7 linked regions of the Ovis aries genome follow. The protein of the gene in region 1 interacts with the protein of each later gene in a biochemical or structural test. Links are inferred from orthologs where the notes say so. Each region holds a gene or a part of one and is shown in the gene's direction. Other genes may lie near its edges.

Region 1 (3,500 bases):
GCACGCATGTGGTTTCATGTTCGTCTGTCGGGTGTACTTCTCACGTGCATGCAGGCATCCCCTCGTGCACACAGCAGTCTTGCTGACTCTGGGCTTTGCCTCCCTCAGCACTTGGACGAGAACAGCCCGCTCGGGGACTTGCTGCGGGGGGTCCTGGATGTGCCAGCTTGTCAGATAGGTGAGCCCCAGCCCTTTCTCTGCCCCTCAGGTTCAGGCTGTCCCTGGTGGCTCTCTCCATGCCCAGAGAGAGGAAGCTGAGGGTTGGGCCCCACAGGCTGCCCTCGTTCTGAGCTCTCCCCACTCCCGGACACCTCGGCACCCTCTGGCTCCCCATCCCCTGCCCCCCGGCTCTGAGGCCTGCGTGCTCGCCCTGTGCAGACACTGGGGATGATGCCGCTGGCGAGCTGAAGTCCGTGGTCTTGGAGGGCTGGTCCTTGGCTGAGACAGGCTTAGAGGTGGGGGCAGGGGCTTGTCTCTGGGCTGCCCGTCCTCCACCCTGAAGAGGAAGGGAGTGAGCTCTGCCCATGCTTGGGGTGGGGTGGGGGCTCAGCCCCGTATCCCCAGCTCTCCTCTCCTCTCCTCCCTCCCTCCAGCCATCCGTCCCGAGGGCAAGAACAACCGGCTGTTCGTCTTCTCCATCAGCATGGCCTCAGTGGCACACTGGTCCCTGGACGTGGCTGCCGACTCACAGGAGGAGCTTCAGGACTGGGTGAAGAAGATCCGGGAGGTGGCGCAGACGGCGGACGCCAGGGTGAGAGCCTGTGCTGGTCCTCCAGCCGCGGGGCAGCCCCCGCTGCTTGGCAGAGGCTGGAGGGACACACGTGCTCCGCAGTGTGGCATGTTGGGGGTGTGTTGAGTTTGAGGTATACCCAAGACGTTCCTGAGTGGCTCTGCGTAGTGACCAGTTGGTGTCAAGGGTAGAGGCGAGAGGCTAGGTCCTGGGCTGGAAGCAGGAGTAGGTGCCCAAGGTTTAGGGTGACGTGGTACAGGTTGGGAGCAGAGTGTGACCTCTGAGGACGCAGGTGTTGAGAAACAAGAGGCCAGGATGAGCAGACCAGTGAGGCCGGGTGTCTGACGTGAGGCGGGCCACAGAGCAGACAGCAGGGCCAGAAGCTCAAAGTGCTGGTTGTAGACGGCCGTGGCCGTGGGCGGTCACGGCTGGGTGGTATGGCAGTGGGCCTCGGCTGGTGGAGGGCAAGGGCGCCGCCTGTGCAGAGCAGGGCGGTGGAAGGACCAGCTTTTAGAGGTGAGAGGAGGGCGTGCTGGCCGGGGTGTGGGAATCCTGCAGTGGGGTGGAGGGGCTGCGGGACACACCGTGGCTGCCTTGGAGAAAGGATGCCCGCAGGCCAAGCCGAGAGGGCTGGGTGCGGAGGACTTAGAGTCGAGCAGGGCCTGGAAGGACCAGGCTGGAAGGATCTGGTGGTTGAAGGGATGGAACCTGGGGTCTGGGCTATGGAGGGAAGGAAGAGCTCGAGAACAGGAGCTGCTTCTGGAAGGAAGCGGGCCTCCACGAGTCCGAGGGCCGCACGGGGTGCTAGTGAGGGATGTGCTGGGGCTGAAGTCTGGCCGTGGCGGGTAGGTGGTGGTTTTGAGAAAGGAGAACTGCGAGGTGAGAGGTGAGGCTTCTGGGCCAGGGCTGGAAGGATGGTCCCAAGGACCCAGAGGACTGCGCCCACGTTCCCAGTGCAGTCAGTGCCCGTGGCAGGCCCAGAGCTGAGGACCAAGTAGCCCTGAGGTGCAGCCGGCCCAGCGCCCTGAAGTGTCTCTGAGGCGCAGGTGGTGTGAGGATCCCGGCCTCTGAAGCTGGGAGGGTGTGTTGTCCTCAGGACGGTTTCTGGGGTGTGACTGAGGACAGCCGGGTCTGGAAGGTGCGAGTGGGCATGCCCAAGGTGGCCGGGGGCTCCTCTCTCTGGGGGCTCCAGCCCGGGCTCAGGGCCCATGTGTCCCCAGCTCACCGAGGGCAAGATGATGGAGCGGAGGAAGAAGATCGCTCTGGAGCTCTCAGAGCTCGTCGTCTACTGCCGGCCTGTCCCCTTCGATGAAGAGAGTAAGGGTCCAGCCCGGGGTTGGGAGGGGGCTGGCCCCAGCAGCACCTGGATGGGCGGACTCTGAGCGCGCTCCCTGTTGGGCCCAGAGATTGGCACCGAACGCGCCTGCTACCGTGACATGTCATCCTTCCCGGAGACCAAGGCCGAGAAGTACGTAAACAAGGCCAAAGGCAAGAAGTTCCTCCAGTACAACCGCCTGCAGCTCTCCCGCATCTACCCTAAGGGTCAGCGGCTGGACTCCTCCAATTACGACCCCCTGCCCATGTGGATCTGCGGCAGCCAGCTTGTGGCCCTCAACTTCCAGACCCCAGGTGAGGCAGCGGCCGGGGGCAGGGTCCTGCCGGGCACTGGGGCTGGAGTCCACTGTAACCCGCTCTTGCAGACAAGCCCATGCAGATGAACCAGGCCCTGTTCCTGGCTGGCGGGCACTGCGGCTATGTGCTGCAGCCCAATGTCATGCGCGATGAGGCCTTCGATCCCTTTGACAAGAGCAGCCTCCGCGGGCTGGAGCCGTGCGCCATCTGCATCGAGGTGGGAAGGGGGCGCTCTCCTGGGCTGGTTCTAGGCGCCAGGGCCGGGGGGCTGGCTAACGTGACATGGGAGGGGTGCTGGACAATCCTGGAGCTTGAGGGAGACGAAGCCATTCTCTGAGGTGGGCGTGGGGCTTCAGGCCTGCACCAGAGGACTGGGCTCAGTGTGGCCAGTTCTTGGCACTCGGGAGTCATGCGGTCCAGTAATACCAAACCGTGGATAGCCACTGCCTGGCAGGAGTGGGCAGAGACAGGCAGGGAACTGGTGCCCCTGCCACAGGAATCGGCTTGATGGTACTTGCTAGAACGGGGGCTTGAACAGCACTGAGCTCCCATGCCACCCTCTCGAGGCCCCAGGGGAGCAGCTGTGATGCGGGCGGCTTGGTGCTGTGGGGTGCAGGGGGTGTGGGCCCGAGTGGGTCTCAAAGGAGAAACGAGGACAGAGTGGGGGTGACCATGTCTTTTTTCCAGAGATTTCTACTTTTTTGTCCCGGGGGGAAGTAATTTAAACATTTTCGTATTAAAATGCACATGGATTTAAGGTAGGTTAGAGTGCAAAGACTCACATGGGACTTCTGGGCAGTGTCCTGAGGGCCCAGCAGAGGGCGCACTGCCTCCGCCGCTCATTGGGGACCGGGTGTGAGTCGGAAGGACCAGCCCAGGCCCATCCTTGCCTGCCTTACAGGTACTGGGGGCCCGGCACCTGCCGAAGAACGGCCGAGGCATCGTGTGTCCTTTTGTGGAGATCGAGGTGGCTGGAGCCGAGTATGACAGCATCAAGCAGAAGACGGAGTTTGTGGGTACGTCTCCCCTCCCCACACCCCCGGGCATGTCAGACCCCCTGCGCCTGTGACTCCATCCTCCCGGCAGTGGCCTGAGGCCTTCTGCCCTTGCTTTTGCAGTGGACAATGGACTGAACCCT
Region 2 (3,500 bases), on another chromosome or scaffold:
TCTCCACAGCAACCCTACCTTTCCGCAGAGCGCCTCCCTGCCGCCATGCTTCTCTCAAGGTTTGTTCTCTGCGCTCTAGTGACCGACTCTAGCCCATATGCCGTCGTCCCAAAGCCTTTCGGCAAAAGTTTTGTTGTTTCCTAAAAGCATCCGACTTCATTATTCAGCACTTCGGTTTCTGAAGTGTACCAAAGGTTGCTGTAGTGATAGGATACTCCACACAACAACAAAAACAACACACAGACACACACACTCCTCCGCAGGAAGGCGCCCTTGGCTTTATCTTCCCAGGCGGAACTTTTCTTCCCGGCTGTTTTTATATGATGCTTAGGATGGTGCTAGCTTTCTCTGTAGTTTAGATTTCTATAATGAATCTAACCTGGAGTGCTAGTTGAGGAACATGTTTAAAATACAGATTAAGGGACCCCCAACCCCCAGGATTCTGATACAGTAAGTCTGGCTGAAGACCTGTATTTTCTAATAATATTTCCTTTGGGTGTCGATGGTAAGTATTTCTTGAGAGAGTCCTCAAACTTTAAAAGGCACGCAAATCCCCTGGGAGCTATGTTAAAATGCAGATTCTAATCAGTGGGTCTTGGATGGGACCCAGGGTTCTGCATTTCCAGCAAGTTTCCATGTGATTCCCAAGTTCCAAGTTCCCAGCTGGTATTGCTGGTTCATGGACCACTTCAAGTAGAAACAAAGGCCTACCCAGTAGGACTAGCTGTGTTTATTTTCTATCCTTAAGGACTTGCAAGTGACTAGTACATGGTAAGCACTTTAAAACATTTGTTGAATGACTGTCAAATGACTATGGAGAGTCACCCAACTCTAGTAAACAATTTTTTCTTCTCATGCTAGAAAACACATCTTGTGTTACCAGATTTTCTGATTTATTTTTCAAGAAAACATAGAAATATGGCTTTCAATGTGAAATTACCTAATTTTTAAAGATTGACTTAAGATTTAAAAATTCTGTGAGGAAAAAATAAAACACTTTTTTTTTTTTGTAGTCATGTACACATGCAGGAACATTAGTTTGTGTTATAAACAGAAAACTAATAAGTTTAAATTTTCACTTAAGAGTCGACTCTTTCTTTTAGGGGCATGTCTATTACATTCAGTTGGGTACATCATGCCATATATGTATGAGATTCTACTGCTGACACCAATGAAACCCACTGTATTTTCAATGTTTCCTAAGCATTTTAGGATATAGTGTCCTTATTCACTACATGGCTTCCACAACTCCCCCCACCCCTCAGTGGCCACAACTCATTATTTTGTAAACCTACTTTGTGTCCCTAGCCTGGTCCGTCCAGGCATCTGAGCTTGAGACACTTCACTTATAGCAGTATCTGCCAAAGTAAATTCCATAGACCCCTGCTTCTATGAGTTGGTGACAGAGATTATTAATATAAACAGTTGGCTTTTATTATTTTTTTGAATATAATCATCCCTCTAATACAGGAGGGGGGATTGGTTCCAGGACCCCCCACTGATAACAAAATCCCAGGATGTTCAAGTTCTCTGTATAAAATGATGTCGCACAGTTGGCCCTTCACATCCACAGCTCCACATCCACAGACCTGGCTAACCCATTGGTTGAACCAGTCTGTAGTCGGCTGAATTCACCGATGCGGAAGCCATGAACGCAGAGGGCTCACTCTACTACCTTAATCAAAATCGATCCCTTTTCTCCCAAGAGTGCCAGGACACCTGGTCCTCAGTCTAACCCACTGGTTCCCCAAGGTCAGGAAGATAAAGCATGTGCTTTATATTGGCCAAAAACCTGTGCCAGTTCCCTTGAGGATCTATTTATTAAGGGTGGAGGGTGACTGCAATGAAAAGTAATATGTTGTCTGTCATGAACAGTGACTTTGTGGTGCTGACCTGCAGATGCAGATGGAGAATAATTCCTCAGTTCTAAGACAGCCATGCCCTGTAGACCTTCATTGCATGACTTTCTCACGTAGCTAGATCTCACTCACTCAGCAAGCATTATACAATGTTGCACTGCAGAGATTGTCATGCGGAAGGTCTGCTCAGGCACTGGGAGCCTTAAGAAGGAAGATCAGCAGCTCAGGCTAGCCCCATCTGCATCTCGAATAATCCTGACTAGGAAGACTTGGACTCTTCAAGTAACTCTCCCCTCTCAGGGGCCCTGGGGCAGGCGATTTACCCTCTGTGGTGTATTAGATGTATTAGATGAAGTAACAGAGCTGGTGCAGAACCACCTGGAGTGCTTGTTAAAGGCAGATTCTTGAGCCTGGGTGATTCAGGGTCCCCCTGGAATTCTCTTTTACGCACAGTCATATTTGGGAACCACAAGCTCAAGTTCTGGCTCTGCCACTAAGACACATGATTTGTTTAGACTCTCTGAATCTTTGTTTCATGATATTCAAAAAGAAGACAATACCCACCTTGTGGAGTTGCTGTGAGGATGAAAGGTCATGCACACAGGTGTCTTATTCAGGGCCTGGACACAGCAGTGCTGAAAAAATATCTGTTGAATGAACAAATGAGTGATGCATGAATTGTTAAGAGAACATTCAACTCACGGACTTTACCAGCCTGAAATAGCTGTTCTGGCATATAGAGACAGGTTTAGCAACTGCAAATCAACACAATCAAACCTTCCCTGAGATTAGGAAACACATTCTCTTGAAAAATTTCATGGAACTGTCAACAAGGAAAAAAAAAAGCATTAGAGAAGATGAGGCACAAATGCTGGGTAATTTACAGACTCCGACACAGGCTTCCTGATGGATCAGATACTGTCAGGGCCTCCTTCTATGTGAGTCTAACAGTTCTACTTCTAAAAGAAATTTGGTCAAGAACAGCAGGTAGTAAGCTCTGGCTCTGAAATCTAAGAATATTCAAGGTAATTTCACCTCATCTTGGGTAAGTCACATGTCTTGTTGTGAAAATGAGAACATAATTATCCTGACCTCCACATTTTACCATTTGGTGGTATATATGTAACTTGCTCAGTTAAGCAACCAATCAAGTGTGCGGTGTAGTGTCTCAGAATTTCACTGGCATGGCTGCAGAATAGGGCCCGAAACAGCCCTTGTGGTTTTGAACAAGTGAAAGTTATTTTGGAAGCTGTGGTTTCTTGAAACGTTAATTGCTGGGAACAATGGCAAGGGCATTGTGGAGGGCGGGCAGTGATGGGCTATGACTAGTGAAAAATTGCTTAAAGTAAATTAACGTTCAAAATGCTATACTTTCAAAGGCCCCCTCAACAGACCACTTCCCAGAGTGGAAGGCAGGAACTTCTCGCCAGTTCCCAGCAAACCTAGACCACAGTCCCCTGGGGAAGAACAGGTAATAAGGCATATGTTCCTATTTTATTTCTACACCAGCAAACGAATCATCAGAATCTTCCACTGAATAGTCTCCTATACTTTTATTTTCTTTTACTCTTAATTTTTTTAGTGAAAAATATTGAGGGGAGAATTCAGTTGAAAAATATTCTTTTTCCTTGATGTTCCTCT
Region 3 (3,994 bases), on another chromosome or scaffold:
TAAAGCTTATAATCAGGCCAAGAATTTTTTTTTTCCTATTTAACAGGCGTATAAATGACTTGTATTTATAAAGTTACAATTCTTCTTTTCTGTCCTGAGCACTAGTCACTGACTGTATCTCTATATTTTGTTACTTTGAAGATGTTGTGTGTCTACTTATGATTTTAGGACATGTTTGTATAAAAGCAGGTCTACTTCAAATCACATAAACTTATAGCTATGATTCAATTAGCATTTGATAGCATAATGACAATTTATACTTCTAGATATAATGTACTGCAAACAGTTTTAGTTGTATTATGTTAAGTATACATAATATTTTTTTTATCTTAAGATGCTTGTAAAACCTAAGAATGGGATTAAAAACTTTGGTGACTTTATATTCGAATATATCACTCAACCTGAATATGTTCTTTAGCTTATTTTAATAAAAGTTAGAACTATTTCTGTCTCCTAATTTTTGTTCAACTCAGCTATTAGTCTGTTGACTAATACTTTGTATTTAAGTGAGAAAAACTGTCATCTTCGTATATTAATTCCAGAATTTGTTATTTTATTTCCTATCAGTTGGAATATCTGAATAGCTGATGTAGCAAACTATTCCTTTTGTTGCCTATGGCTGGGAATTTTTACAAATGGAAAACTAGCAAAAACTTTTCCAGTCTGACCGGCTTGATGTTTATCTCTGAGAACATCTTTACAGCTTTACTTTGAGGCTCTAAGATTCTTTTTCCTTCAGTTCAAATTTTTCTCTGGCCCTTTACCATACTTAAGCTGCAAGATGTTCTTGTATCTTCAAGCCCAAGCTAGCTTCTGTTATAGGTTTAAAAACACAAAAAGGCTCAAGACCAAACTTAGACTAGTGATCAGAGAGAAAAACAATTGATAAAATAATGAATGAGTCACTATTTAAATATACTTCAGTTCTTTTATTTTTTTCTGAACTAACCTTTCTGCTTTCATTATTTTTAATAGCACTTATGTAAAAAGAGTGTGGTCAATTATTTCCAATGGTAGCTACAACAATTTCTCTGAACCTACATCAGTTTTACCATGATACTTTCCACTCCTCTTATCAAGAGATGAAATCTCGCTCCCTCTCCTCATCTTATGACCTGTGTCTTCCTTAGATGCCCTGTCCCATTTCTGGGCTTAGCCCTTGAAAGGTCTGGCAGCTTCTTCCCCAGACAGAGAAGTCCTCCATTTCTCTCTGAGGAAGCCAGCCTCCATGCTGTAAAGAAGCTTGAGCTAGATACAACTAAATGATAAGACACCACATGGAGAGGAAGAGGCAGGTGGAGGAGCACCACGGGGGCCAGTCATGTGAGTGAAGCCTTCCTGGACTTTCCAACTCAGTGTAGCCACCAGCTGAAGATCCCCAGATCAGCATCCCTAACCAGCATCAGGTAGAACAGAATAACTGCCCAGCTGAGCCCAGTCAACCTACCAACTATAAGAAATAATAAACCAGTGGTTTTAAGTCACTACTTTCCAGGTTGGATTTGATATGCAGTAATAGATAACTGAAACAGTATGTTTTTAAATTGTATACTGTTTAGTGGAGAAACATATTCTCAATTTATATGCAAACTTTAACTAAGGCATAAAGTTATCTTTTTAATTTTGTTGAAGTATAGTTGATTTACAATGTTGTGTTAATTTCTGCTGTACCTCTAAGTGATTCAGTTATATATATATATATATATATATATATATTCTTTTTCATTTTGTTTTTTCACTAGATATTGAATATAGTTCCCTGTGCTAAACAACAGGACCTTGTTGTTTATCCATTCTATTTGTAATAGTTAGCATCTGTTAATCCCAAACACTAGAGAAAAAAAAGGCAACTCATTCCACTATTCTTGCCTGGAAAATCCCATGGACAAAGGAGCCTAGTGGGCTACAATCCATGGGATTGCAAAAGAGTCAGACACAACAACTAAACAATCCCAAACCGCCAGTCCTTTCTTCCCCAGCCCTCTCCCCTTTGGCAACCATAAGTCTGTTCTCTCTGTGAGTTTGTTTCTGTTTCATGAATGAATGAATGAAAGTCACTCAGTTGTGTCTAACTCTTTGCAACCCCATGGGCTACACAATCAATGGAATTCTCTAGGCCAGAATACTGGAGTGGGTGGCAGTTTCCATCTCCAGTGGATCTTCCCAACCCAGGGATCGAACCCAGGTCACCCACATTGCAGTCGGATTCTTTACCAGCTGAGCCACCAGGGAAACCTTTCTGTTTCATAGATATGTTCATTTGTGTTATATTTTTAGATTCCACATGTAACTGATATCATATGGTGTTTCTCTTTTTCTTTCGGACTTATTTCACTTAGTATGGTAGTCTTTACCTCCATCCATGTTGCTGCCTATGGCATTATTTCATCCTTTTTATGGAAGAGAAATAGTTCATTGAATATTCACTGAATATCTGTGAATATTCACTGAAAGGACTGGTGCTAAAGCTGAAGCTCCAATACTTTGGCCACCTGATGTGAAGAGCTGACTTATTGGAAAAGACCCTGATGCTGGAAAAGATTGAAGGCAAGGGAGAAGGGAGCAGAAGAGGCTGAGAGGGTTGGATAACATCACCAACTCAATGGACATGAATTTGAGCAAACTCTGGGAGTTAGTGAAGACAGGGAAGCCTGGCATGCTGCAGTCCATGGGGTCACAGAGAGTTGGACACAATTTAGAGACTCAACAACAACAAAACATTCCATTGTATGGAATACCACATTTATTGTATTCATTCTTATCCATTCGTCTGTCGATGGACATTTAGGTTGGTTCTACGTCTTGGCTATTGTAAATAGTGCTGCTTTAAACACTTTTTACATGTATCTTTTCAGATTATAATTTGGGGGTCAGATGTTATTTAGCCTAGAATATACTCTAGGGAATCTAAAAATCCTTCTTCCCGGTTACCCATTGGCCTCTGTCTTTGATTCTTATTTATCTTAGTCAACACTGCTCTACTTCCCAGGGGGAAATCATCTTCTCATAAAACATGTATAACCACCCTATGGGGGAAATCTAAAGCACCATAATGAAGAAATGGTCCAGACATTGTATTCTATCAAATCTATGATTACATTCTAGCTAGAAATTTGCTTGATATCTTCACAGTGATCCAATAGGTGATTTCCTTCTTTTTGCAAGAAAAATATTTACATCTATGTTAGATAACTGGCTAGATGCCAGACTACTCATTTTCTATCTTTTGTCACCCTGCCAAAAAATATATATATGTAAGTAGTCAGTCAGTTTGGGTCTTGATGAGTGTTCTTTAACCAGTGCTCTTCACTCATTATCACACTCACTAGACATCAGCTAGGTCATCTTCTGGATGTTAGCGGAAAGACTGATCTACACTGAATGAGCTTCTGCTCATAACCAAAGATCTCTAGCACATTTGATTCTTCAAGGTAACTGGTGCCATTGTCTTTCCACATTTGCCCTCTTTCTCTTTTAACCTGAAAGGCATCCAACCAGAGGTCAGATTTTGGCTTTGTCACTTACAGGTCATGTCCTTTTATCATCAGTGTCTTCAACTCTAAATGAAAATTTTTAACAACCTGAAGTTGTTATAAGTATTAAGTGAAACAATTATGTTAATATGCTTGGTAGCATAAGGAGCTATGTAAATACTGATTATTATTTTTAATACCTTCTATAACTTTTGAATATATTCACTTCTACAGTTTGATATGTGATCCCTTGAAATAAATCCATAGAGTTGTTTAATTACACTAGTTGCCATGTTCTCTCCCAAAGAAGTAGGAGAACTCATCTTACTCAACAATCTCCTGTCTTCCATTTGGCAGCTCTTGCATTTCTAACATGAGAAAGAGCTTACCTTCTAGCAAATAAAAATGTCAAGTTTTTCTATGTACACAACTTAGTTTATTGGCACTATTTTAAATGTCCACATATTACCTAACAAACACTGTCAAGTACTAGGAAGAAACAGAATCTTAAAGCCCTCAGT
Region 4 (4,022 bases), on another chromosome or scaffold:
GGAGGCCTGGAGTGCTGCAGTCCATGGGGTCTCAAAGAGTCGGACATGACTGAGCGACTGAACTGAACTGACCTGAAACTAGTGGGGAAGACAAACACTAATCCAAAAATCACCCTCCAAAAAGTACAATGACAACTGTCATAAAGGCTATGTCATAAGGTGTCTTCTGCATATAATTGGTGGAAATGACTTAGTAAAGCCAGGAAGGCTTCCCTGAGGAAGTGACATGTAGGCTGAAACTAGTAGTATAACTCAAAGCAGGTAAAACAGGGGAGAGGAGATGTTTTCAGGCAACGGGAGCAGATATCCAAAGCAGCCTGAGAAGCATGCATGAGGGCTGAAGTGAAAATATGCGAGCAAGGTATGAGATGAGACTGGCAAGAGAGCCAGAGAGCAGCCCCACATGTAGGAGTACCATTACTCCCCTTCACAGGTAAAAAAAAACTGAGGCTCAGAATCCTCAAGTAATTTGCCTGTAGTCTCACAGTTAGTAAGCCAGAAGTTAGTGGAGCCAGAAGTCAACCTCTGATAGGTAAAGATATCCCTAGAACCCGTGCCTACGTTAGTTTACATGACAAAGGGGGAATTAAGGTGCAATGTGGGATTAAGGTTACTAATAAACAGATCTTAAAATTGGGAGATTATTTTAGATTATTCACACAAACCCAATGTAATCTTAAGGATCCCTAAATATGCCAGCGGAAGGTAGAAGAAGAGGTAACAGTTGTATAAAATTAGAGCAATTGACTGTTGTCCTAGGCTTTGAAGATGGAGGAAGAGGGTCAAGAGTAAAAGCATGCAGGTGGTTCTAAAGCTGGGAAGGGCAAGGAAACAGATTCTACCTGAGATCTTCCAGACAGGATCGCACCCTGCTAACATCTTGATTTTAGCCCAGTGAGACCCATTTTGCAATTCTGAACCACAGAACAATAAATTCACGAAGCACTAAACTTGCTGTAGTTTAAAAAGCCAATAGAAAACTAATATACAACCCATGTCCCTCGACTCCAAAGCACATGTTCCTACCCCTTGTGCTACAGGGCTTAACTGTTGGATGAGCTAAACCAGGAACTATAAAGATTGAAATCTAATCAGTCATATCATTTTGAGTCTAAGGTTTTTCAAATATTTCTAAACCATACAGCAAAAGGTATGCATAATTTTTACATATGCCTCATAGTTTTGTGAATTTTGAAAGGATGTGGTTATGGGCTTTGACATCAGAAGAGAAGCTCTGCGATGTTGACTGAACGTTGATAGAGAGATAACATTGGAGGCAAGTTGCCTTTGAACAGCTCTCAGAAGATCAACTGCCTCCCCATCGCATTCCTTGCCCTGAAGCTGTTTCCTCTGGTTGTGCTGAGGGGTGATGCGTAAGGTGCATCACTTTTCAAGAATTGGATCATGAACAACTTTATCCTCCTGGAAGAGCAGCTCATCAAGAAATCCCAACAAAAGAGAAGAACTTCTCCTTCAAACTTTAAAGTCCGATTCTTTGTTTTAACCAAAACCAGCTTGGCGTACTTTGAGGACCGTCATGGGGTATGTGATCGCTCTATTTTGTCTATTTTTAAAATAGCATTTTATAGTTAGATTGGGCTGAATCATGAAGATATACATACAATAAAATAAGAACACAGAAAACACAGATGTGCTTATTATAACCACCTAAAATGTATAGTAAGAGTAATTGGGAGAGAACATGGAGAGTAGTCAAGAAAGGGTAATTATATCAGGTGATTTCAGTAAAAGAGTAAGTTTATTGCTTATTAGCTTGTCTTTCCTCTATAAGGTTAAGTTGAACTTTTAAATTTACTTTACTTGGCAAACGAAATGGTTAAGTGATGGGTCCCATTCAACATTTTTATGGATTCAGTTTTATTTGTCTCAATGTCATCACTCACCTGACATTTAAAATAATAGTCTCTGGGCATTTAACTGTCTAAAATTTACAAAGCCCAGTGGTAAACCTCTTCATCCCTTGGAGAACTTCCCAGGAGACTAGGGTTATCACATACAAAATACAATACAGTACAGACCAGCAGTTCTTACCAGAAGACTACAGCTGCTTAGCTAAGTCAGTCTTTATATTTCTAAAGATATTCTTATATACCATAACATCAGTAATAAAAAGAGCAACACAAATAATCATAACAATGCAGTTTGGTACAAAAAGCACTGGAAGAGGCATCAGGGGACCAAACTCCACTTTTCTCTAGGTGAGTTAGCCTCAGCAAATGTCTGCGTCAAGTTCTTTCTTGATAAAATGAAAGGACTGGAAACACCGCCTACAACATTCCTTTCTTCTTTAAAATCCTTTGTTTCTATGAAGTAGCACTTGTACAGCCCACCTCAGCAATTTTTTGAAGCATGTTTGCCTTCTTGCTATATCACTGATTTATTTTTCTGTCATCAGAAAGGTAGCAAAAACAGCATTAGGTGCTTGATGGTCACTTAGAGACAAAGGCACTCTGATTCTTGGCAGGACCAAACTTAGTAGGTGTAGGCATGAGTTTGGGTCTTTTGAGAGCTGGGATTTGAAGTGTTCAATGATATGGGGTCTTGAAAGAGGCCAGGCCAGGTATGGAGCCTACAAATGCCCAAACTTCTAAGCTGCTGGTGAAATAATACTGCCTGTTTTTTACAGGTGAAAAGACATGCTTGTCTTAAGTAGATTCTTACTGATAATAATCCACCAGTCAAGAAGAATATGGAATTACTTACGTGCAAGGCCCCTTTAGTAGGTATTCAATATGTATTCTTTGACTAAATTAACAGAGGGCCAACAGCCAAGTTTTCAACCTGGAGGATTCATCATTTAGAGCTGATTAATCATATGACCTTGGTCAAATTGTTTCCAACTGTGAATGGGACATTAGAAGCTCATGTTTTATGTTTAAAGAGTTTTCATTTACATTTAAATATTTTTTCAAAGTCCATTTTGTGGTTTTTACCAGTTTTTTTCCCTGACTCAACATTCAACATGGTGTCATCTCATGTAGTTAGTATTGATTGTTTCTGAGCACAATTATTGCTTGTGAACTGTTTGGTTGTGAGTTCTGTACAATGGTATTTGCACACAGTCCTACAAAGATAATCTTGATTCAGAATTTTGTTGGTTATAATTTGCATGTAGAAAAGGTTGTAAAAAAACTCAGTTTCTTCATTTGAGCATTATGAAAATTCTAGAACAATTAATTCATCCTGGGGAGCCCTGAGCTACAGTTTTTAACATTTCCATATGGGATACAGCAGATATATGTTTCACAAACGTCAAATTTCTTATTTTGTAATGCCTATGCTTTATATTCATAAATAACATTTTAAAAAGCATTTCTCTAAATATTATAAGAATTTACTGATTGTAAAATTTTTCAGTTACTGAAAAAGACAAGATATATTCGTTATTATTATTTTTTCTCTATGTGACATTCCATTGCTTACAGCCATCAATTTGCACACAGGAGTGCATTGTTCATTGCCCATAAACGATAATAGTATTACACCTGTGGGAAGAAAAGGTTTTAAACATGTGTTTAATTTATTTTTTTAAATGAAAACTCAGTTCTGCCATTTGCAAAATGGGTGTTATAATAGTATTCACTTCATGGGGGAAAAAATGGTAAAAATTAAGAGAGGATGTATTTAAATAGACCTATCTGAAAATTTCCATTTTGGTAGATCCAAAAAAAGGGTCATATATTGGCAATTTCATATAGTTCAACTTAATTTATAAAGAACTGAGCTTAATAAGTCCTGTCACCTAGTAAACACCTAATAAAATTTAGCTACTATTTGTATCATCATTATATCTGTGAAGGAGAATGAAGGGTGGTATAACATAATCATTTCAAATGAAGGGAAGTATTAAGGATTCTTCCAAGTCAGGCTAACATCAGGGTCTTGGGTTCCCTCTCTTCCATGACTAAATACATGTGTGTGGGGCAAGATATACCTGCAGCATGAGATGTATGATTTTGGGCCAACATTTCCCCTCTCTAGGTCTCAGCTTCTTTTTCTTT
Region 5 (3,500 bases), on another chromosome or scaffold:
TTAACCAGCACACAGGAACAAGTAGGCCAGCCAGACCACACTGTTTGCCAGCCCTGGCCATTGTATAGCTGCTACCAGGTGTCGTGCTGGAAGGCTTGGATCTTAGGGCACTTGTAACCAAAGCTAAATGTAATTGATTATGTAATTTTCAACTGTTCCAGTGTTTTATAAGTTTATTATTAGCTGTGTTCATTGTAAAAAAAAATTAGAAAATAAGTCAAAAGAATGAAACAGATATTGATGTATAACTCTACTACCCAGATACAACAACTATAAATATAATGCACCCTTTCAGCCCCCTCTTTTTTTTTCCTACTGAGTAATAGTTAATTCCACTAAAAATCCAGGAACAATGAATGACAAGAGGAAGGTTGTTATGAGGAAATCTGTCTTATGAACTTGATTCCCATTTGAATTCTGTCCAGTTGGATTCTATCCAGTTATCTTTGCTATCTGTGTGTGGACCTTCTCTCATCGTTAATCTCAGTATGGAAGAAAAAATCCACATGGCCAGGTTTATGTGCCGATTTCTTATCTCGTGGCCCACTATTGCAAAAATGATGTAACAGGAAAGTCACCATAGGCTGATATTCCAGGTCCCTTCTTGTGACACTGAATTCCTTTGGAATTTGAAGGACTTGTTTCTTTGGGAGGACTTAATAATTAACAGCTCTTACTGTGTGTCTGCCACAGGTCAGACTCTGCTAGAAGTCAGAAGTACAGTCCGTAAGACATGGTCCTTGCCCTTGAGAACAGTCGGATGGAGGCAGACCAGGATATTATAGAAGTGCGTCAGGTGCTCTAAAGTGCTTCGGGAGTAGGGAAGCGAGACCAACCAACTTGGCTTTGGAGAGTTGAGGATGGCTAGGAAAAGGAGATGACACTTGAATTCAGTCCAGAGAGACCTGCCGTATGGCGCCTGCCGTCTTCAGCAAATAGCATTCTCCTCAAGTTCCACTATTTTCTGTGTTATGTCCTACTTTTCAGCCTGGTCACACAGTTGCCCATGATAATTAAATGAAACTTGCCAGATGGACGCTTTTGCAAGACGATGGCTTGTCTTCTTGCTCTATTTGTGAAAGCTGGCGTTGGATCCAAACTCTCAAGGATGCCCCTACCTTGAGATTGCTTTTGGAGTGTTGCTCTTTTGTGTGTATTAGCCAAATGGCCTGCCCATCAGCAGGGCCAGGTTGAATGACAGGTGGGTGTGCCATGCATGCAGACACTTTGATCCCTGCCAAGCCATTTTGCCTGCAAGGAGATGAGGTGCTGAGAGGTTGTTCTACAAAGATGTCATTTATCAGCATTACCTTCCTTCGAAGAAATTAGTTTCTGACCTGTTGGCCTTTTCCTCTGACCAAATATATTTATTTTTCCTATCAGTTGCAATGTAATCAATGTCAAATTCCCAGTTCTTTGGGTTAAAACACATACATGTTATCATGCTGTGTTAAGCAGTTTCTCTTCAATATCTAATATCTTTATATATTGAAAAGAATATGTAGAGTGACCAATACAGTTAACTTAATTGGTACCAAACTTGATTAACCTAGGAGGGTGGGTACTCTAAGGAGAAAAAATAATAAATGAGTAGTAATAAAGTAGTAATTAATACTTAAAATTTTTTTGAAAATTTATTTACTGGCTATTCTGGGTCTTAAGTCAAGGCATGTGGGATCTTCAGTTGCAGCATGTGGGATCTAGATCCCTGACCAAAGATCGAACCCAGGCCCCCTGCACTGGGACATAGGCTCTTAGTCACTGAAGCACCAGGGAAGTCCCATTAATTAATGCTTTTACTGTTTGATTTCTGTGAATCATTCTTGATTCTTTGTCAAGAATCATTTCACTTCATTGTCACAACATCACTATGAAGAATTCCTGTTGTTACTGTTGTTATTCCCATTGGATACCCGGAGACTTGGTGGACAGCAGAGAGCCACCAAAAGCCAGAGCTTGGGTACAGTTCTGTCCACCACACACAGGGCCACCCACAGCTCTGTGCACAGGCTTGGGGGCGGCACCCGCGATGCTGTGCCAGGGATGCAGGATGAACTCATCACTGTCCCTGCCGTCAGATGCTTCCAGTATAGTTTACTCATTCTTAGAGGGTTCACATCCTTCAAGTGTATTACCAGTAGAACAGCTGAATGTAAGTTCTTTTCCCGTTCACTAATCTCAAGAATTTGCAGGGTACCTTTGATTGAATATCAGTTGATTATTATAGTTACACAGAAATGTCAAATTAGGGCATTCCTGCTGATACAGTTTACTTTTTCAGTGATTGTACTCAGGTTTAGACATATGTATGAGTAAAACTCTTGGGCTGGTTTCCTCTTCTAATTTTCTATTCCTATTTTGCATTTGAAATAAAAGTTTGGAGTTAAAAGCCCATATTGTGTTTTACTCTGATGTTTTGGCTTCTCTATAAAGGGGTGATTCAGCTGCTCGTCTGCACCATCCCTTCCACACCCCCATCAAAAAAAGGAGGAGGGAAATTTTCGAGAGGGGGCGGATCTTATCTCTTCCTGTAACTCCTCCTAATTTCTTCTAGTTCTTGCAATAACTTGAAATTCCAATGAGATTCTGATGGCAGGAATACTTTAATAAACAGTGTTGTTAAGTCACATCTGACTCTTTGCAACCTCATGCACACCAGGCTTCCCTGTCCCTCACTATCTCCTGGGGTTTGCCCAAGTTCATGTTCATTGAGTCGGTGATGCCATCCATTCCATCTCATTCTCTGCCACCCTCTTCTCCTCCTGCCCTCAATCTTTCCCAGCATCAGGGTATATTCGAATGAGTCAGCTTTTTGCCTCAGGTGGCCAAGAGTATTGGAGCTTCAGCATTTTCACCTGTTAGACAGTTGGGAACCCTAGAATCCTGATTAGAACCCATCTTCCAGGTTCCCCATCCCTGGGAACAGAAACCTTGCCAGGTGGTCCTGCAACCTCAGTCATCCCTGAGGCAGGGAGAGCTCAGAGACCCCCACATCCACAGGATGAACAGTCCACACGGGGGCTGGGTAGCTTTAACCAGGAAAGCCTTTTTCGTGGTCAGACCTTCACATCCTTCTACCTGTACCTTCCATTCACTGGTTCACATTCTCCCCTTTGAGCAACATGTTCCCTTAGGGTCCCTTTCATCCTTGAGAAAGTTTTTAAAAATTCAGAAATTGTGGAGGGAGCCTTGGTGAGGTTTTCTAGCAGTCTGACATATGGCCGCTTCTCTCTTCCTCCAGCAAAACCAGAAATTCTGACGCATGACAGGCTGGTGAATGGCATGCTACAGTGCGTGGCCGCAGGGTTCCCAGAGCCAACCATTGATTGGTACTTTTGTCCAGGAACCGAGCAGAGGTGAGATGATTATTTTGGATACCACTTAACACTCATCAGGAAGACTGCAATTCAGTTGAATTTCAAATATGTTTTCAAAGTATTATTATTTTTTTAAAACTTTGTTTTGATTAATTTTTTTCTATCCATGTGGCTTTTTAGAGA
Region 6 (4,045 bases), on another chromosome or scaffold:
TAAGTGGTCAGGACAAGGTCAACACTCAGAGGGCAAAGGTAGCCTCCAATCACAGAACAGGCCCTCCAGGGTGCAAAGCAAGTTTAAAGAATTTTAGCCAGTACTCTTGGCTCAGAGTGAGAGGTGGAATTTTTCTTATTCAAAGCTCAACTGTTCTTGAAGTCTTCAGGCTTGAAACTCTGGGGAAAATAATTAGGCTTTCAGGGCAAGATCCGGAATGCCACACCGTGTGAGGCCTCACTGCCGCCGGCTGGGCACCAGGAAGTGCCCATCCTATCCATTTGGTGTCGGCCTGGGTTTGGGGGCATCCCCTCGTGGTGGTCAACAGCGCCTCTGGCTAGGATCCGGGAGCTGGTGCCCTGGGTTCATGCCTTTCGGGGACGCAGTCTCTAGGGCCCTCTCGGCGTCCCCCTCCTCCTCCTTTCCAGGAAGACCCCAGGCCCGGAAGGCCTGGGAAAGTGAACTTCTGTGGTGGGGAAGGCGGCCGCCCCGACGGCGCGGTCCGACTCCAGTGTGCAAGGGGAGGCAGCTGTTCTCCCAGGCGGCCGTGGGGGGCAGCAGAGGGGACAGCGACAGGTGCGGGAGCCCCTCCCGGGGTGGAAGTGAAAAGGCGGGCTTCGGGGTCTGTTCCCAGGCTGGAAGCCACCCCCGCCCCCCTACCAAATCCCCGGGAGAGGCCGGGCCGGCGCCGGGTCTGGAGGAGGAAGCGGCCGGAGACAGTGCAATTTCACGCGGCCTCTGGAGCTCGGGTTCCTCGGCAGGGCGGATGAGTTATGGGGTTTCGAGGGGGTTTCCGGGGAAACTGAGGTGGCCTGTTCAAGGCGACAAAAACACCCTCCCCCTCAAAAACACACACACACACAGGCAAACACATTGAGACAGAAACTCCCCCAAGTGACCCAACCGGCTAGGGGAGTTGAGTGATTTGGTTAGTGGGCGAGGCCAACTCGCAGGGGGTCGGGCTTTGGAGCGTTCTCTCCCCACCCCCATTACCTTTCTCCTCTGGAAGTATTTGGGGGCGTTCGGAATCTTGGACTCCGGGAGAATAATTAGGGCGAGAGCCGTTTAGGATCTGCGCGGCCAAGCTGCCGGCCACTGGGCGTGGGGCGCGCTAGCTCGGGGCGGGCCGCCGAAGCTCCGGCAATCGCTACTCCAGCCTCGCGCCCGAGGGGGCGCGGCCGAGACTCACCCCCTCCCCCTGCGCTCCGTCCTGCGCTCCCTCGCAGACTCCACTCCTCCCCTGCCATCCCGCCCCGGACTCCGGCTCCGGTTGCACTTCGCAGCCTCCTCTGCCGCCGCTACCGGGGTCGCTGGCGGCTCAGGTGGCTCCGCTTCGATGTCCTAGTCCAGGGCCCTTCCCGGCCGGCTTGGGCTGGGTTCCCCTCACCCTCCGCTGGAGTCATGAAGGTGAACCGGGCTCTGCAGGTGCTGGGTTTCCTCCTCAGCCTGGCCCGGGGCTCCGAGGTGGGCAATTCGCAGGCAGGTAAGCGGCGCGGGAGCACTGGCGGGCTCCGAACCCGGGATTCCGAGCCGGATTCGTGGGGTGCCGGAGGCCAGCGGCAGGAGCTTGGGCTGCGCGAGGCTGGGGTGTGAAGCCCCCGCCGGCTGGGACCCCCTGGGCCCGGGACCGTCAGGATGGGGTTCTCGGCGTGGTCCGGGCGGGGACGCGATTCAGGGACCTGCTCCCCGGCCACCGCCTCCTGGGCGCCTCGCAGACCCTCAGATTTGTCTCTCCGGCGGATGCTTAAACCATTCACACTTCTGAGGACCCTACAGGGACGGGAACTAGGACCTCCATTCTGTAAACGTGAGGGGGTGATTGGAGGTGGAGAACACGGAGGAAGCGGGGCACGGAGGTGGGCATCTCGGTTTACTCCAGACCTCTTTGGCCCCTGGGGCTCAGCAAGCTCCAGTTTCGTTGTTCTGCCGACAGGGCGGAGCTGTGGAAGGGGGAGAGGTTGTTGTTCTCTAGTGTTGGAAAACAGAGTGACACCTCCTCTTCCGTGAGTGGGCCTGCCCTGGGGAGAGTGGAGATTAACCTGGGGGCTAAGTCCAGGGGACAGCAGGGAGAGCGGCCACGCAGAGGCTGACTGCCCTCGTTCTCTCAAAATAATAAAGTTGGCTGGTCTCCAACTTGACCAAACTTTTTTTAAGCCCCAGATCAATTTAACCAATATTTACTGAGCATCTACTATGTACAGAGCCCTGGACCACCAGCTATAGGGTCAAGGATTTCCAGCCGCTATATTTCAGCCTTTTCTCTCCCCAACTTGAGGGCTGACAGGGCACCTGTCCTGTCTTCTGAGCCCCCTATCATGGGGAGGGTCCTTCTCAGAGCCAGCTTCATCCCTACTCCCATTCTGTTTATTGTCTGGCGGTCTCCAGCCGTCTAGACAAGAGTCAGATCACCCCTCTGTTCCTCCTCCCACTCCCATGCCAGCTAAGCCCCCCTCTTTGGGGTGTCTCTGGGGTGGTGGACAACTGAGGGGTGCTGGGGATGCTGGCATTGGAGGAGTTCTGTTGATTTCCTCCCCTCCCCCCCAGATCTCAGCTTGGGGTTTGGCACTGTCAGGGCCCCTTCCCCAGGGTGGGAGTGGGAGAAACACCTGTGCTTCCCTCACAGTTGCTGGGCCTAAATTTAGACCCTGGGATCTTGGGATGTGAACACTCCCAGCTGGTAGAGGGCGGGGGTCTGGGCATTGGAGTGGGAGAGATGGAGTAAAGTGACTGTCTCACTGTTCCGCTCAGGCCCCTGGAATCTTCAGCTGGGAACCCAGGAGTCCTGGATCCTGGCCGCCTTCCCTGAGGGAGACAGGAGGCAGGCATGGTTGGGTCTCTTTACCCTTTATCTGGCTCCTGCAGCCTCTGGGCATCCGGCCCCGTCTCAGTCCTTCTATAGCCCCTTTGTCCTGGCGGTGATGGGGGCGGGGGACTTGGGGGAGAAGGCCTCTGGCTGAGGAGGGGCTGGAGATTCTTGTTGCGACCCACCCCAGTGCTCTCTACCAAAGGGGAGCCCCGTGACACTGGCCCTCCCGGTGCCCCTGGTCGCTGGGTATAGCAAGGACTTTTGAATTCCCCTCCCCCTCCACTCCTCCCCTAGATGCCTGGTTCCTCCTCAGAGGTGTTGTTCATCGTTTCCCGCCCAGCCCTTTGCTCTTGTTTGTGTAATATGGACTTTACCCTCAGGGTGGCAGGGAACTGGGACCTCTAACACTGTAGTCTCCCCAGCTCGACACAAAGTCTGCACAAACACATGCGGGCAGGTGGGAAGGATGGGGCCACCTGCAATACTCCCTAACAAGGAAACCCAAGGACGGACCGGGCTAGTAGGGGAGCTGTGTACGTGTTTGTCTGCGTGCGAATGTGTGTGCGTGTGTACACACACACACACCCTGCTTCCTTGTGCAGAAATCTTGGCTCCTCCTTTATCTGGGGAGAAAGGTTGGCGCCTTGACTTGGAAGAGGGGGTGTCCTGGCAAGAAGGGAGTTGGGGTGGGGCTGTTGCAGAAACGACCAGCCTCCTAGTGGTTTTCTTTTCAACCCAAGGACCCTAGGGTTCCCAGGCACCTCTGGGAGCTCGTGTCTGTTTACTCCTCTGCTGGGTCTAGCTCACACTTTTCCCTTCATGGGGAGTGATAGGGAATGGGAACCCCTCAAAGGTCGAGTGGTCAGACTAGGGGTGCATCCAGGAGGAGGGGTTGGGGCCTCACCCACCTCCCTTCCTCCATTCCCACTCCTGCCTCCCACTAGGCTGCCACCGCCTCAGGGAAGGGTGGCTGGAACAGGTGGTATCTACCCGTTCCCTTGCAGCCTTTCACCGAGCCAGAGGAGAGACAGGGTAGGGCTTCAGGGTCCAAGATTGACTATAAGCCCCCATGTCCTCCTCCACACTTACAAAGTAAAGTGAACCTCCAAGACTGACAGTGAGTGAGGATTGAGTGAGTGAGTGAGCGATGTTTGGAAGACTTCTTAATGGATCTCCTCTGACAATAAAATTGGGTAGAAGGCTGAGACTGGAGGCAGTCGACTGCTGTTTCCATCCAAC
Region 7 (3,500 bases), on another chromosome or scaffold:
CTGGGAACCTGATGTGGCACCTGGGCTTCGGGAAGTTTTGCCCAGGCTTCGGAGGGCATCTGGGGTGGGCCCAGTGGCGTGAGGTGGGCCAGACCCAGAAGGAAGGCCACACCAGGAGTGCCAGGCATGGGGGGCGTGGGGCGGCCAGGCTGCGGGGCAGGGGCCCTGGCTGTCCACTGCCCCCCGAGGGGTGCAGCTGCAGCCTCCAGCGGGGGACACCCACTTACCATGTGGCTCTCTTTGCTCTGCAGATGCCCTGATCCACCCGCCGGCCTACCCTCCGCCCCCTGTGCCCACGCCCAGGAAGCCAGTCTTCTCTGAGGTGCCCCGTGCCCACTCCTTCACCTCCAAGGGTCCAGGCCCCCTGCTGCCACCCCCGCCCCCTAAGCGCGGCCTCCCGGACACCGGCCCGGCCCCCGAGGACTCCAGGCGGGAGCCGCCGGCCCTGCGGAGGGTGGAGCCCGGTTCCAGGGTGCCCACCGTCTCCCGGAGGATGAGCGACCCCCCATCCAACATCTTGCCCCCCGGGCCCAGCCTCCGGAAAGCCCCTTGCTTCCCCGAGAACAGCAGCCCCAGCCTGGAGCCCCGGATCCCCGCACACGGGGTCAACCCCTCCAGCACGGCCACGGCTGCCTCCTGGAACTGTGACAAGCTCAAGTCCTTCCATCTGTCCCCCCGGGGGCCGCCCGCCCCCGAGCCCCCACCTGTGCCAGCCAACAAGCCCAAGTTCCTGAAGATGGTAGAAGAGAGTCCCCCGGGGGAGGTGGCCAGGACTGGACCCCGTGTGCCCCCTGTGGCCCCCCGGCCGCCTCTGCTGAAGCTGCCCATGCCCGAGGCTGCAGACCGGCCTCCCGTCCTGCCCCGGCCAGAGAAGCCGGCGCTCCCGCACCTCCAGTGAGTCTGTGTGGCACAGGACACCCCCTGGCCTGGGACACCCCTCCTTGGCATGTTTACCCTCTGGTGACCCCAGACCTCCCTGCCCCTGGCTCTCAGCCCATGTGGGTGCCAGGTGGCCCTGGCATGGGGGGAGCAAGGCTCCTCGATTGCCCTCCTGCCTGGACTGACCGGCTGCCCCTGAGGCCTGCTCCATACCACGTGGGCCTCTTTGCTGGGCAGTGCCGGGAAACACGTGTGTCGTGGCAGCCCCAGGCCATGGGGCCCTTGGCGGTGAAGGCTCTGGGTCCACGGGGCGACCCCCGAGTGTATGCTCCCGCCCAGCTCTCCTTGGGCACCCTTGACTGTGTCTTGCGCCCCGCAGGGCTCTGTCAGCACCGTGCCCGTCAGGACGTCCCTGGTGGTTCTGTCTTGTGAGGGGTCGCAGAGTTGCAGGCTGGGTCCCTATGTCAGGCTCTGGGCCTGGCCCCGAGCACCACAGGGCTGCCTGGGCCACAGCCAAGCGTCGACAGCACAGCCGCACACACAGCCTGGCGGCCCGTCCAGGGTGGCCTCCCTGAATCCTCCCTGGAGCCCTGAGGCTTAGGAGCACGTGGCCACTCGTGAGGGCGTGTCCCTTTGGCTCGGGCTGTTGGCATCTGTTCTCGTGGCTGTTGGGGGAGCGTGGCTTGGCTGAGGCCACAGGGGTGGTCCGTGGCAGGGAGATTGCCCTCAGACCGGGGCCTTTTCCCGCAGCCTCCAGAGCTCAGGATGCCCCGGGCCAGCGATCCCAGCTCAGGCTTCCGGGCTTCAGGCAATTCCTGCTGCCCCAGGGCGGTCAGTGCGGATACCCGCCCCCCCCCCCACCGCCCCCGCCCTGGAGCTCCTCGGCTGCAAGCCTTTGACGGCTGCCGGGGCTTCAGGCACCAGACCCCCTGGGTTCCGAGGCTCGGTGTGGTCACTCAGAGGGCGAGAGGGGGTCACCGAGGGGAGCGGGGCATTGTCCCATGTCTGACCGGCCTCCCTCTTGTCTCGCTCCCAGGCGATCACCCCCTGACGGGCAGAGTTTCAGGAGCTTCTCCTTTGAAAAACCCCGGAAACCCATGCAGACTGACACGTCGCAGGCGGACGCTGGCGGGGAGGGCTCTGACGATGACTATGAGAAGGCGAGGCTGGGTTGGGGGGGTGCCCACATCTCAGTCGTCGGGGGAGGTGGGGGGTTGCCGGAAAGCCGGGGGCTCTGGGGCTAGAGGGTCGAACCTGGTGCAAACGCCTGGCTCCCAGCAAAGCCTGGCAGCCAGCGGGGAGGAGGGGGGCCCCCACCCCCGGTCTCGGGCCATGACCCTGACCCTGACCCTTGACCCTGACCACTCAGGTGCCACTGCCCAGCTCAGTCTTCATCAACACCACAGAGTCCTTCGAGGTGGAGAGGTCAGTGTGCAGTCCGCCTTTCTCCACGGCCTCGTGTTGGCAGACCTGAGGTTCTCTGCCGGGGCCTGCCGCCCCCACCTCAGGTCTTCCTGCCTCTCTGTTCCCCTCCCCCCCCCCCCCGACTCCCGGGCTCTGTGCATCTGCCCCCATGGCCCCCGGTGCTCTCGGAATGGGGGAGGTGGGTGGGCTGGAGGGTCCTGAGAGCTGCTCGTGGGCGGCTCCCCTCCACGCAGCCGTGTCGTCGTAGGCTCTTCAAGGCCACGAGCCCCCGGGGGGTGCCCCAGGACGGTCTCTACTGCATCCGGAACTCCTCCACCAAGTCGGGGAAGGTAGGCACCCAGGGAGGTGGGCCTGGGGGGTCACATCACCGTCGGGAGTGATGCCTACCCCCCAGCACGGGCTCGAGGCAGGAAGGAAAGGGTGGGGTTCCTGTTCCTGCACCTTAAAGGGGGGCTTCTTGAGGGTGGTGAGCCTGGTGGGACGTCTGCTGGCTCTACCCAGGCCCCTCCAAGGGTGACTTGTGTGACCCCACTGAGCCTCAGTTGCCCCATGACTATCAGGGGCGGTCCCAGCGTGGGCCAGACACATGGTGCTGCCACTGACGCCTCACCTGACTCTGAGGGCAGGCGTCCTGGGCTGAGGTTGCCCGTCGCGACTCTGCTCTCCGCGTGTGGGGCCACCCGCCCCCACGGACACGCCTTGACTCTGCTGCCCACCGGCTCCGTCTCTGAGGGGCCCGCTCGGGGTCTAAGGTCATCGTCTTCCCAAGACGAGCGAGCCCTGTGCTGCGCACTGCTCTCCCTGCAGGTTCTGGTCGTGTGGGATGAGACCTCCAGCAAGGTGAGGAACTACCGCGTCTTCGAGAAGGTGAGCAGGCGGCCTCGCGGAGGGCCCCAGGTGGGAGGGGAAGCCTGCTCTGGGGCCTGGCTGGGGTCCCAGGAGTCTCCCTGGTAGAGCGCAGGCAGTGGGCATTCAGAGGCCCGTGCCTCCAGACACCCCTCCTCCCCCCCTCCCCCAGTCCCGGCCCAGCTCTGTCCCCCACAGGCCCCAGAGGAGATGGGGTGACCCGCCCCCGACCCTAGGCTTATCTGCAGACCTTGCCGGCATCCCCTGGGCGGGTGTTGCTGCCGAGCACCCCATTTCACAGGGCAGGCAAACGGACCAGCGCCCCCCTTGACCCTGCCCCCCTCCACCCC

The links.
Region 2: the proteins of PLCG1 (region 1) and LCP2 form a complex in vitro, tested with the Homo sapiens proteins (2 studies listed by BioGRID). The link is inferred for Ovis aries from reciprocal best matches to the Homo sapiens genes PLCG1 and LCP2.
Region 3: the proteins of PLCG1 (region 1) and SOS1 form a complex in vitro, tested with the Homo sapiens proteins (2 studies listed by BioGRID and IntAct, with this or other methods). The link is inferred for Ovis aries from reciprocal best matches to the Homo sapiens genes PLCG1 and SOS1.
Region 4: the proteins of PLCG1 (region 1) and ITK form a complex in vitro, tested with the Homo sapiens proteins (2 studies listed by BioGRID, with this or other methods). The link is inferred for Ovis aries from reciprocal best matches to the Homo sapiens genes PLCG1 and ITK.
Region 5: the proteins of PLCG1 (region 1) and KIT form a complex in vitro, tested with the Homo sapiens proteins (3 studies listed by BioGRID and IntAct, with this or other methods). The link is inferred for Ovis aries from reciprocal best matches to the Homo sapiens genes PLCG1 and KIT.
Region 6: the proteins of PLCG1 (region 1) and ERBB3 form a complex in vitro, tested with the Homo sapiens proteins (2 studies listed by BioGRID and IntAct, with this or other methods). The link is inferred for Ovis aries from reciprocal best matches to the Homo sapiens genes PLCG1 and ERBB3.
Region 7: the proteins of PLCG1 (region 1) and SH3BP2 form a complex in vitro, tested with the Homo sapiens proteins (2 studies listed by BioGRID, with this or other methods). The link is inferred for Ovis aries from reciprocal best matches to the Homo sapiens genes PLCG1 and SH3BP2.

Annotation. Positions count from the first base shown.
Region 1 is NC_056066.1:69,811,715-69,815,214, forward strand, and holds part of PLCG1 (1-phosphatidylinositol 4,5-bisphosphate phosphodiesterase gamma-1), read left to right. Parts: intron 1-108; coding exon 109-178; intron 179-593; coding exon 594-751; intron 752-1,950; coding exon 1,951-2,047; intron 2,048-2,134; coding exon 2,135-2,359; intron 2,360-2,430; coding exon 2,431-2,579; intron 2,580-3,263; coding exon 3,264-3,378; intron 3,379-3,480; coding exon 3,481-3,500. UniProt on the Homo sapiens protein: Mediates the production of the second messenger molecules diacylglycerol (DAG) and inositol 1,4,5-trisphosphate (IP3). Plays an important role in the regulation of intracellular signaling cascades.
Region 2 is NC_056069.1:2,324,873-2,328,372, reverse strand, and holds part of LCP2 (lymphocyte cytosolic protein 2), read left to right. Parts: intron 1-9; coding exon 10-59; intron 60-3,238; coding exon 3,239-3,330; intron 3,331-3,500. UniProt on the Homo sapiens protein: Adapter protein primarily involved in signaling pathways within T-cells, as well as other immune cells such as platelets, mast cells, and natural killer (NK) cells.
Region 3 is NC_056056.1:85,013,965-85,017,958, forward strand, and holds the start of SOS1 (son of sevenless homolog 1), read left to right. Parts: upstream 1-1,194; 5' UTR 1,195-1,323; intron 1,324-3,994.
Region 4 is NC_056058.1:66,446,634-66,450,655, forward strand, and holds the start of ITK (tyrosine-protein kinase ITK/TSK), read left to right. Parts: upstream 1-1,222; 5' UTR 1,223-1,404; coding exon 1,405-1,542; intron 1,543-4,022. UniProt on the Homo sapiens protein: Tyrosine kinase that plays an essential role in regulation of the adaptive immune response. Regulates the development, function and differentiation of conventional T-cells and nonconventional NKT-cells.
Region 5 is NC_056059.1:70,928,192-70,931,691, forward strand, and holds part of KIT (mast/stem cell growth factor receptor Kit), read left to right. Parts: intron 1-3,241; coding exon 3,242-3,356; intron 3,357-3,500. UniProt on the Homo sapiens protein: Tyrosine-protein kinase that acts as a cell-surface receptor for the cytokine KITLG/SCF and plays an essential role in the regulation of cell survival and proliferation, hematopoiesis, stem cell maintenance, gametogenesis, mast cell development, migration and function, and in melanogenesis.
Region 6 is NC_056056.1:163,452,890-163,456,934, reverse strand, and holds the start of ERBB3 (receptor tyrosine-protein kinase erbB-3), read left to right. Parts: upstream 1-1,245; 5' UTR 1,246-1,401; coding exon 1,402-1,483; intron 1,484-4,045. UniProt on the Homo sapiens protein: Tyrosine-protein kinase that plays an essential role as cell surface receptor for neuregulins.
Region 7 is NC_056059.1:116,633,548-116,637,047, reverse strand, and holds part of SH3BP2 (SH3 domain-binding protein 2), read left to right. Parts: intron 1-251; coding exon 252-894; intron 895-1,915; coding exon 1,916-2,039; intron 2,040-2,248; coding exon 2,249-2,304; intron 2,305-2,551; coding exon 2,552-2,633; intron 2,634-3,111; coding exon 3,112-3,171; intron 3,172-3,500. UniProt on the Homo sapiens protein: Binds differentially to the SH3 domains of certain proteins of signal transduction pathways. Binds to phosphatidylinositols; linking the hemopoietic tyrosine kinase fes to the cytoplasmic membrane in a phosphorylation dependent mechanism.